Caenorhabditis elegans: one gene and its partner. The protein of the gene in region 2 purifies or fractionates together with the protein of the main gene of each other region. This does not show direct contact. Each region holds a gene or a part of one and is shown on either strand. Other genes may lie near its edges. The genes, in order: selt-1.1 and dnj-12.

The links.
Region 1: the proteins of dnj-12 (region 2) and selt-1.1 fractionate together in Caenorhabditis elegans (co-fractionation; one large-scale study listed by BioGRID). This does not show direct contact.

What each region holds. Positions count from the first base shown.
Region 1 is NC_003284.9:11,544,501-11,548,445, forward strand, and holds selt-1.1 (Thioredoxin reductase-like selenoprotein T homolog selt-1.1), read right to left. Parts: upstream 1,996-3,945; coding exon 1,929-1,995; intron 1,886-1,928; coding exon 1,786-1,885; intron 1,589-1,785; coding exon 1,481-1,588; intron 1,429-1,480; coding exon 1,305-1,428; intron 1,255-1,304; coding exon 910-1,254; 3' UTR 591-909; downstream 1-590.
Region 2 is NC_003279.8:14,755,372-14,759,457, reverse strand, and holds dnj-12 (DNaJ domain (prokaryotic heat shock protein)), read right to left. Parts: upstream 2,396-4,086; 5' UTR 2,380-2,395; coding exon 2,230-2,379; intron 2,183-2,229; coding exon 1,727-2,182; intron 1,679-1,726; coding exon 1,237-1,678; intron 1,187-1,236; coding exon 1,026-1,186; 3' UTR 673-1,025; downstream 1-672. Other genes in the region: tmem-107 (Transmembrane protein 107), read left to right, coding at 211-297, 349-672; mtx-1 (Metaxin-1 homolog), read left to right, coding at 3,082-3,150, 3,199-3,453, 3,503-4,086.

The DNA of each region.
Region 1 (3,945 bases), on a different chromosome or scaffold from region 2:
TATGGGCGAGATGTTAATTGAGTGCATTTTAAACTTTTCGGAAAGCAGAATTCTTCCTTATGAGTAAGCACTGCAATTTGCGTTTTCTACCAAGTAGAAATAATTTCAGCTTAAAAGAGTTAATGGACAGAGTTCTTGATGAGTATTTCCCGAGAATACAACAACACATTAATAAGGCTCAGACTTTTGAAAACATTTCTGAGTACTTGACTGAGCCCCAGAAACAGTTTGAACTGTTAGAAAAGACAGCAAAGGTATGCATGCTTATGAAAACTTCAATTTTCACATATTAGATTTTTCAGATTTGAAAAATGTTTCATAAACCCGCATGGTATCCTTGGAGATCCGCAGAGTCGTCATGTGCTCTTCCGCCCGAGTGCGGACAACTGGTATCGTGGAAACGCAATCTCTCAAGTACACAGCTTGATATCAAAAATGGAAACTTCAGTAGACGACGAAGAACTCTTAAAATATTCTAAGCAATTATCCAAGGAGATTGCTTTTGTAAATGTTGCATTCATTTGCGCGAAACATTCCTTAAACGAATTTTTTACTTTGTGATTTGTTTTTAAATAAACAAAACTAATACTCTAGTAAAAAATATTATTTCTGAAAAATTTCAAATGAAAAAACTGGTTTCAAAAATTTGATTCCTTAATGGTAAATAATTATTTAAAAAAAAACAAAACGTAACATTATTTGAATAGAAAATCATTAGAGGTGAAATAAAAGTGGCGAGAATTTTTATGACTGCAAATAATTTACACACGTTGAGAAACAAATAAAAAGTTAATTTAACTTAATAAAATAAGGCGTCGGATGACGAGTGAGGGAATGAATCAGTTTGAGCAGCAAGAATACATTGTAAATAATTATGGTAACACGGTGTCAAATTGAAAACATAGCGTTTTAGACAGTCTGTTGGAACTCTCCAAATGATTCTGTGTTGACAGGAGCTTTTCCGAGCACCGCAAGTTGAGCATCGATAAGTTGCATGAATTCCTGAGGGGATGGTACACGACCTGACTCGATTTTACTCCAGATTTGTTCATTGCCAAGGTAAACTTCGAATGCTCCAGTAGAAATGAGACTTTGTTCAACAAGGTTGCCGAGCATGAACACCAGCATACAGGACGACATCTTGTTTCCGTGTGCGTGCTGCAGAATCTGTGGGTATCCAAGACCAAATCTCTCAAATGGATTTATTCCACCTAGCACCAGCACGAGAACTGCCATTTTGACGAAACTGAGAGCCTAAAAATACATTTTATAAATAATCCAAGTCACTTCAAATTGAACAGTACCTGAGCAACATAAGCTTTCCAAAGAACCGGTGCAAAGTTGGCTCCTTCAATTGGCATATTTGGATACTTTTCTTTGGCAAAAGTGGTGAACTGGTCGAAAGCTTGCTTATAACCACATGAAACACTGAAAAATTATGCATAATTTCTAGTAGAACCTATATATGTATAAATATTACCAGTAGAAAATTCTCAATGTTGGAAGATCCTTGGCGTGGTGGACGGCTGTAGGCTTAACAAATGAGGATTGCTCCCGGACTTCAATATGATCTTCTTCGGTTCCTTGACTGAAAAAATTAAGTTTTGTAGCACTTGTTTGAAAAATTTCAGTTAACCTGTTGGAAACTAATTATCATGAACTTAGAAATTTTATTGAGCACCTTAGAAAGCTTGAAAAATTGAAAACGGTCATGCGTTAGATTTTCACTTTTTTGAAAATAAAATTGATTTTAATTTCACAATTCGACCTTTAAAAAAATAATACCTGAAGCTTTGTGAATCTGTTTCGTCTCCAAATTCTGCTTCAAAATCGTCCTTTTCATGTACGTGGTTCTCATCGTGTGAATGCTCTTCCGCTGAAACAGCTACTTGGGTTGTTTATTTCATTTATGATGTGTCACAACTTACTTCTCAGCACATCACAAACTGACATAAAGAAGAGAACTCCTATGATAAATACCCCAAACCGTGACATCTGAAAAATCAATAATGGCAAAAAAAACATCAAAACACTATAGAGAAGGAAATGAAATTTTTCATCATCTTTTTTGCAACAAAAAAAATTAGATAAAAATGTCAGAGAAGAACACATTTGATGAAGTGTTTTACACTAGAAAAAGCAAAGAAAGCGGACGCGCAGGAGAGTATGATATGACAGAAACACCCTCTCGACACACAAGCGGACAACACAGGGTATTCCAAACGAGCGCGCAGCACCAAGACCACTGCGGAGTCTCAGCGATCAATACTTGACTCGCCCGTAGCAAACGCGCCCCATCACTCGCCAGTGTCTGATGCCTCCGCGCCTCACACACTCTCTCGTTCTCTTTGAACGGTTCTCGGTGTGTGTATGCGTGTGTGTTTGGAGGACGTTGAGTCACCTCATATTCGCACACTCGCATAACCTTTAATTTTATGTGCACAGTCTTCTCTTTCCTTGTTTCTCATTTTAACTCGTTTTTTATTGTTCATTGGATATGATATGGGAGGAGTTGTTTTGATGTGATCAATACGCTACGTTATAGAATTAGTTTCTTTTTGAGATTCTTAATGGATTCTTGGTTTCCGTGAAGGTCAAACAGTCAAACACAAGAAATCGGTTTCCGAGAAAGTGAACTTTGTTGTCGTGCAATTGCAATATCTTATTGAGACTTTTTTACAATGAGTTAATTTCTTATTTTGGTACTTGTGTATTACATACTTTCATTTTAAAATTAATGAAAATGCTCATTGATTTCTCCGTTTAAATTGAACGTGATGTGGAATTTTCCTCGTTTGGCTCAGAAATGCTTATTTTCTAATTGTAAGCTTTAAAATATAAAAAAATTTCCACACTTTTTTATTTTTACAACTTAAAAATTACTTTAAAAATGAGTGCATGTAATACACAAGCAGTGTTTGCAAGTTTAAACTTCCTTTCAAAAAAAAATATGTATATCTTAATAAATGTTTTTCACCCCCAGTGTCTTAGAAAAATGTAATTGACCATTTCTCAAATCTAATGACAAACATCTTGCTTTTGCAATTCATCGTGGATTCTCATTATTTTTGAAAAGCATCTATCTTCTTTTCGTGCTAGCATCTCAATCTCAAAAAGTTACACCACCAACAATACGCATCTCACATTTGCCGAGGTGGAGTGGTGACAAACTAATTGAATCGCATCCGGATTCTTCCACTTCTCACTCCTGAAGGAAAACAAAAAAAAAAGGAACTTGCCCTTCTCATCCATCTTTTCCCCCAACCTAACCCATCTCACCTCAAATGCATTAGTTTTATGGGCTTTTACGACAGATATCAATGACTTGAAGAAGGAGGGGGAGTCACTACGTGTGTATGTGTATGTGTGTGGATGGCCTTTAGACACTAACATCCTCAGATGTTCTAAATTAACCGTCCGTACACTTTGCAATTTCTGGGGTCAGTGCCCACGACGCGTTTCCTCTGGCTCCACAATGACTCATCCGCAGATGTGTGAGGTCTCCCTTTCTCCGAGGTTTTCGTTTTTCAAATGCTCATTTGCATTCAAAACGATTCGTTCTTCACATTTTTCTTTCAATTCTCCAAATTTTCGGTTTTTGTTCCACGCTTTGTCATGTTTCTCTTTCATCACTTTGTTCGCTACCCATTTTAGGATTCTTTCCCCATTATTTTCTATTCTGCGTTTGTATTGTTCTAATGGCTTCATGCCACGTCACGCAACAACATCGTATTTTGCAATGACCCTGGAAAGGGCCTGCTTGGCATGACAGTATTCGGGTGCCAGCAACACCTGTTATCGAAACACTCATTATTTCAACCGATGCCCCCATGAGTCATGGGTATGAAAACGCCCTCTTCTTGAGTATTTCGTTTTGCTTTTTTTAACTTGTCTTCAGAAATACGTTCACCATTAGTGTTATTTCCTAAATTTTCGATTTAAATT
Region 2 (4,086 bases):
CTATTTTTTCACAGAAAAAGAAGGAAAAAAAGGGATTTTCAGGGTTTTTTTTTTGGAAAATGAATAGAAAATAAAATTTTTCATGTAAACCTATAGGGTCTACAGCGAAAAAGCACTCGAAAATGTAATTGAAAGAAGGAACGTCGCCATGGCAACGGGAGAAGTGGGCTAGTGGAGTAACTCATCGATTTTCGCAAGCTTCTTTAAGAAATGTTCACGAAAACGGACACCTGTACTAAATACTTTCAATGTTTGATGGGACATTTCGCCTTGTCGACGATTACAATATTTTCTCAGGTTAGGAAGTCTCGAAAAAAATTATTTAAAATCTAAAATCTATTTTTCAAGGCTTCTCATTTGGAAGCATCAGTTTCGGGCGGTGCATCCATCAGTGAGGAGGCCCGAATAGGCTTCACAGTTTGCCTGGTCTTCACAAAACTCGCTATTCTCATCGAATTCGCCTCAATTCTCGTGGATCTCCCGTCGCCGTCTCGATCTCTATATTCCACGTTGTCACACACGATTGCCAGCATTTTCTTTCTAATTTTCATCTACGATTCGCATCCACCTGCACATTTTTGGCTACTTTTCGCTTTTCTTTCCCTTCCACCGTGCGTTCTTGCCGTGAGCGCATCGATCGGCGGATTTAGGCGAAAGGAATGGCAAAAATAAATCAATTTTTTTATTCTCCCTTGTTCACAAAAGACTGACGGACAGTCAATTAAGGGAAAACGTAACACTGAAATGAATGTGGGTAGGATATCGATATCAAACAAAAAAAGTAATGAAGAGGGGACGAAACGAGACCATATGGAGCAGGAACTAAAGTTGATGGGAATAAAAAGTAAAACGAACGGGGAACACAAAAAAATAAATCAATTTCAAGATCACAGATCGTCGAAATTAGGCTTATGAGTTTTTAAAAGATGAAAACCATGCAGATAGTAGGAAAGAAATGGAGCCAAGTTTGAAATCCTAAAATAGTGAAGGAAAGTGACCAGAAAAAGTGTAAATTGGTGTGAAATTCAAGACTGTTGGCATTGAACGCCTTGTGGCCCGTGTCCATGTCCACCGAATCCACCGTGTCCTTCAAAGTCGTCGCGCTCAGCGAAATTCCTGCGAGATGCTTGTGGATCTAACTCGGTCAGCTCAACGACTTCCGCGTCTTCATCAATGATTTCTTCTCCTGAAAGAAAAATGATTAGTATTTCACACTGTAAACGCAATAAAACGAACTCTTTCCAGGCAGTAAATCGGCTAGCTTCTTCGCGGCATCTGGATTAATTTTATCGGGGAATTTCACATCGAACTGTACGAGAAGATCTCCTTTATCAGATGATGCTCGACGCATTGGCATTCCCTCGTTGTGGATCACTTTAACATCGGCATGAGCAATAACCTCTCCAGGAAGAACACGATAGAAAATTGTTCGACCATCAAGTGTACTGATTGTTCGCACAAATCCGCACAGAGCCTCGGAAAGATCGATATTGTGTTGAATAATCAGATTATCGCCTTTTCGGACGAATTTCTCGTGTTCAACCTCGTCGAGCACAACTACAAAGTCTCCAGGCTTCTCAATACCGATCACTTCGTCTCCTTTTCCTTCGAACACAAACTTCTCGCCATCTTTCATGCCAGGCGTGATTCCAACTTCAATAATTTCGTCTTCTTTCACCTGAAATCACTAATTATAGTTTCGAATTCGATTGGAGAAAAGTCAAACCTGCTTCTTTCCGTTACACTTTTTGCAGCGATCTTTTTCAAGGAATGTTGAGCCTTCTCCATTACAACTGTCGCAGTGAGATTGCATTTGTTGAACCATTGGTCCCATTCTGATAACACGAACCTTGATTCCACGTCCACGACAATCAGAGCACTCCTTAGCGGATCCCTCGTTGCCTCCAAGTCCCTTGCATCCTTTACAAGTGGCAGTTCTTGAGATTTTCAGCTTTTTCGTAACACCCTTGTACAGTGTGTCGAGTGTGACCCGTAAATTGTGAACCGTTGGTTTTACTCGACGTTCTCCACGACCACCACGACCACCGCCTCCGAAGAACATGTCGAATACGTCGAACGGATTGTGGAATCCCTCTCCGCCACCACCACCGCCTTGAAGTGCTTCTTCTCCACCCTGATCATAAATCTGACGTTTCTTCTCATCTGATAATACTTCGTATGCCTGCAATATGAGTAATTTCAACTTTGCAGCTGGATTTCGTAACAAACCTGGGAGATCTGCTTGAATTGCTCAGCTCCGTCTGGATTCTTGTCTGGATGGAATTTGAGCGCCATTTTACGGTAGGCCTTCTTCAACTCATTGTCTGAAGCATCCGGCTTTACTCCGAGAACGTCATAATATCCTGTTTCCTTCACCATTTTGATAAATACGAATCTGAAAAAGAAAATAATAATTTTTCTTCATTTATCGACGAATTTCGAGTGTCAGAATGAAAATTATACCAAAAAGCGAATTGTTTTGCGTAAATCCAACACGATAAAATCGATTTTGAAGTCAAAAATGGGGAAAGTCAAGAGATAAAGGGCGAAAAAGAGGAGAAAACGCGAAAACTGTTCTAACGATTTTTCGTGAACATTCTCGACACTTTTATCGGTGGAGCGCACTTGCAACTCACCAAGCGGGGACATTTTTGTCTCGTGGAAACTGATTCGTGAGAAATATTTTAAAAATGCACGATTATTTGTGGAAAACTAAAAAAAATCTTACATAGATTTTCATTCAAAACAACTATTATACAGGATAGCAATTGGGGAGATACTGTAATTTTAAAATCTTTTTAAAAATCTGTTTTTTTTTCATTCATGAATGAACTGCAGTTTTGATGTTTTTTCAAACGTATTCTTCAAAAACTCGAGAAATTAGCAAAAATTGAGGCTTTGTTCGAAATTTTCCGCAGCTTCCGTGATTCACACATTAAAAAAACTCCAATTTAAAATTCCCGCAAAAAAGTGGCATGGCCGTGACCGAGGTTTCACCTGAGCGGCTCCATTTTTTTCCTAGTCCATCTTGATTTTTTTCCGAATTTGGAATTTCAAGCTCAAAATTTGTTTGTAATATCAATGGAATTACACATTTGGCCGTCAGACTTCGGTCTCCCAACTATTGACGTTGTGTCTCTGCAGTTTTTGGTAAGATTTTGTGTCAACTTTGGTTAATTATCGTCATTTCTGTTCCAGGCGTGCTCTAAAATGTGTGCCAGCCCAGTAAGAGTCATCCAATCGACCCGTCCTTGGAGATCGCCGAGCGGTGAGCTCCCAATGGTCGCTCAAACCGAAGGAGAAGCAAAACCAGTGACAGATTTCGAAAAATTTGTGGATATTCTGAAAAAGTGCGGCCAAGACGTGGTTATCGATGCAGACTTGACCACTATTGAGAAAGCACAGTTGGACGCATTTTCCTGTTATTTACATCACAATTTGTATCCAGCAGTGGTAAGATTAAAGAAAAATTAAGCTGAAATAAATCAATTTTCCCTTCCAGATGCACACATTTTGGACGGACGAGCTCAATTACAATACAGTGACGCAATATTGGTACGCATCTCATCTGCATTTCCCCTACAATCTGTATTACCTCGAAAAGCGACGAAAGAAGGCATTGCGATTGTTGGCTGGAAAGAATGACACTGAAATTTTGAAAGAAGCATTCATGGCGTTGAATACTCTATCCACAAAGCTTGGCGATAATAAATTTTTCTGTGGAAATAAGCCGACGTCACTGGATGCCCTGGTATTCGGCTACCTTGCTCCACTGCTCCGAGTTCCACTGCCAAATGATCGTCTTCAAGTCCAGCTCTCAGCATGTCCGAATTTAGTGAGATTCGTGGAAACTGTGTCATCAATCTACCTGCCACTTGGCGAAGATGAGCTCAAAAGACAACAAGCGAATCGGAAAATGTGGCAATCTCGGATCTCGAAAGCAAAAGCAGACAAAGAAGCCGCGAAAACAACAGAAGAAGCGTCGGAATCACTTCCAGAAGAGCCTCCAATGCGGGATGCGATTCTCTTCACTCTCGGAGCTCTCACGTTGTCATTAGTGTTCGCAATTCATACCGGTCTGATTCA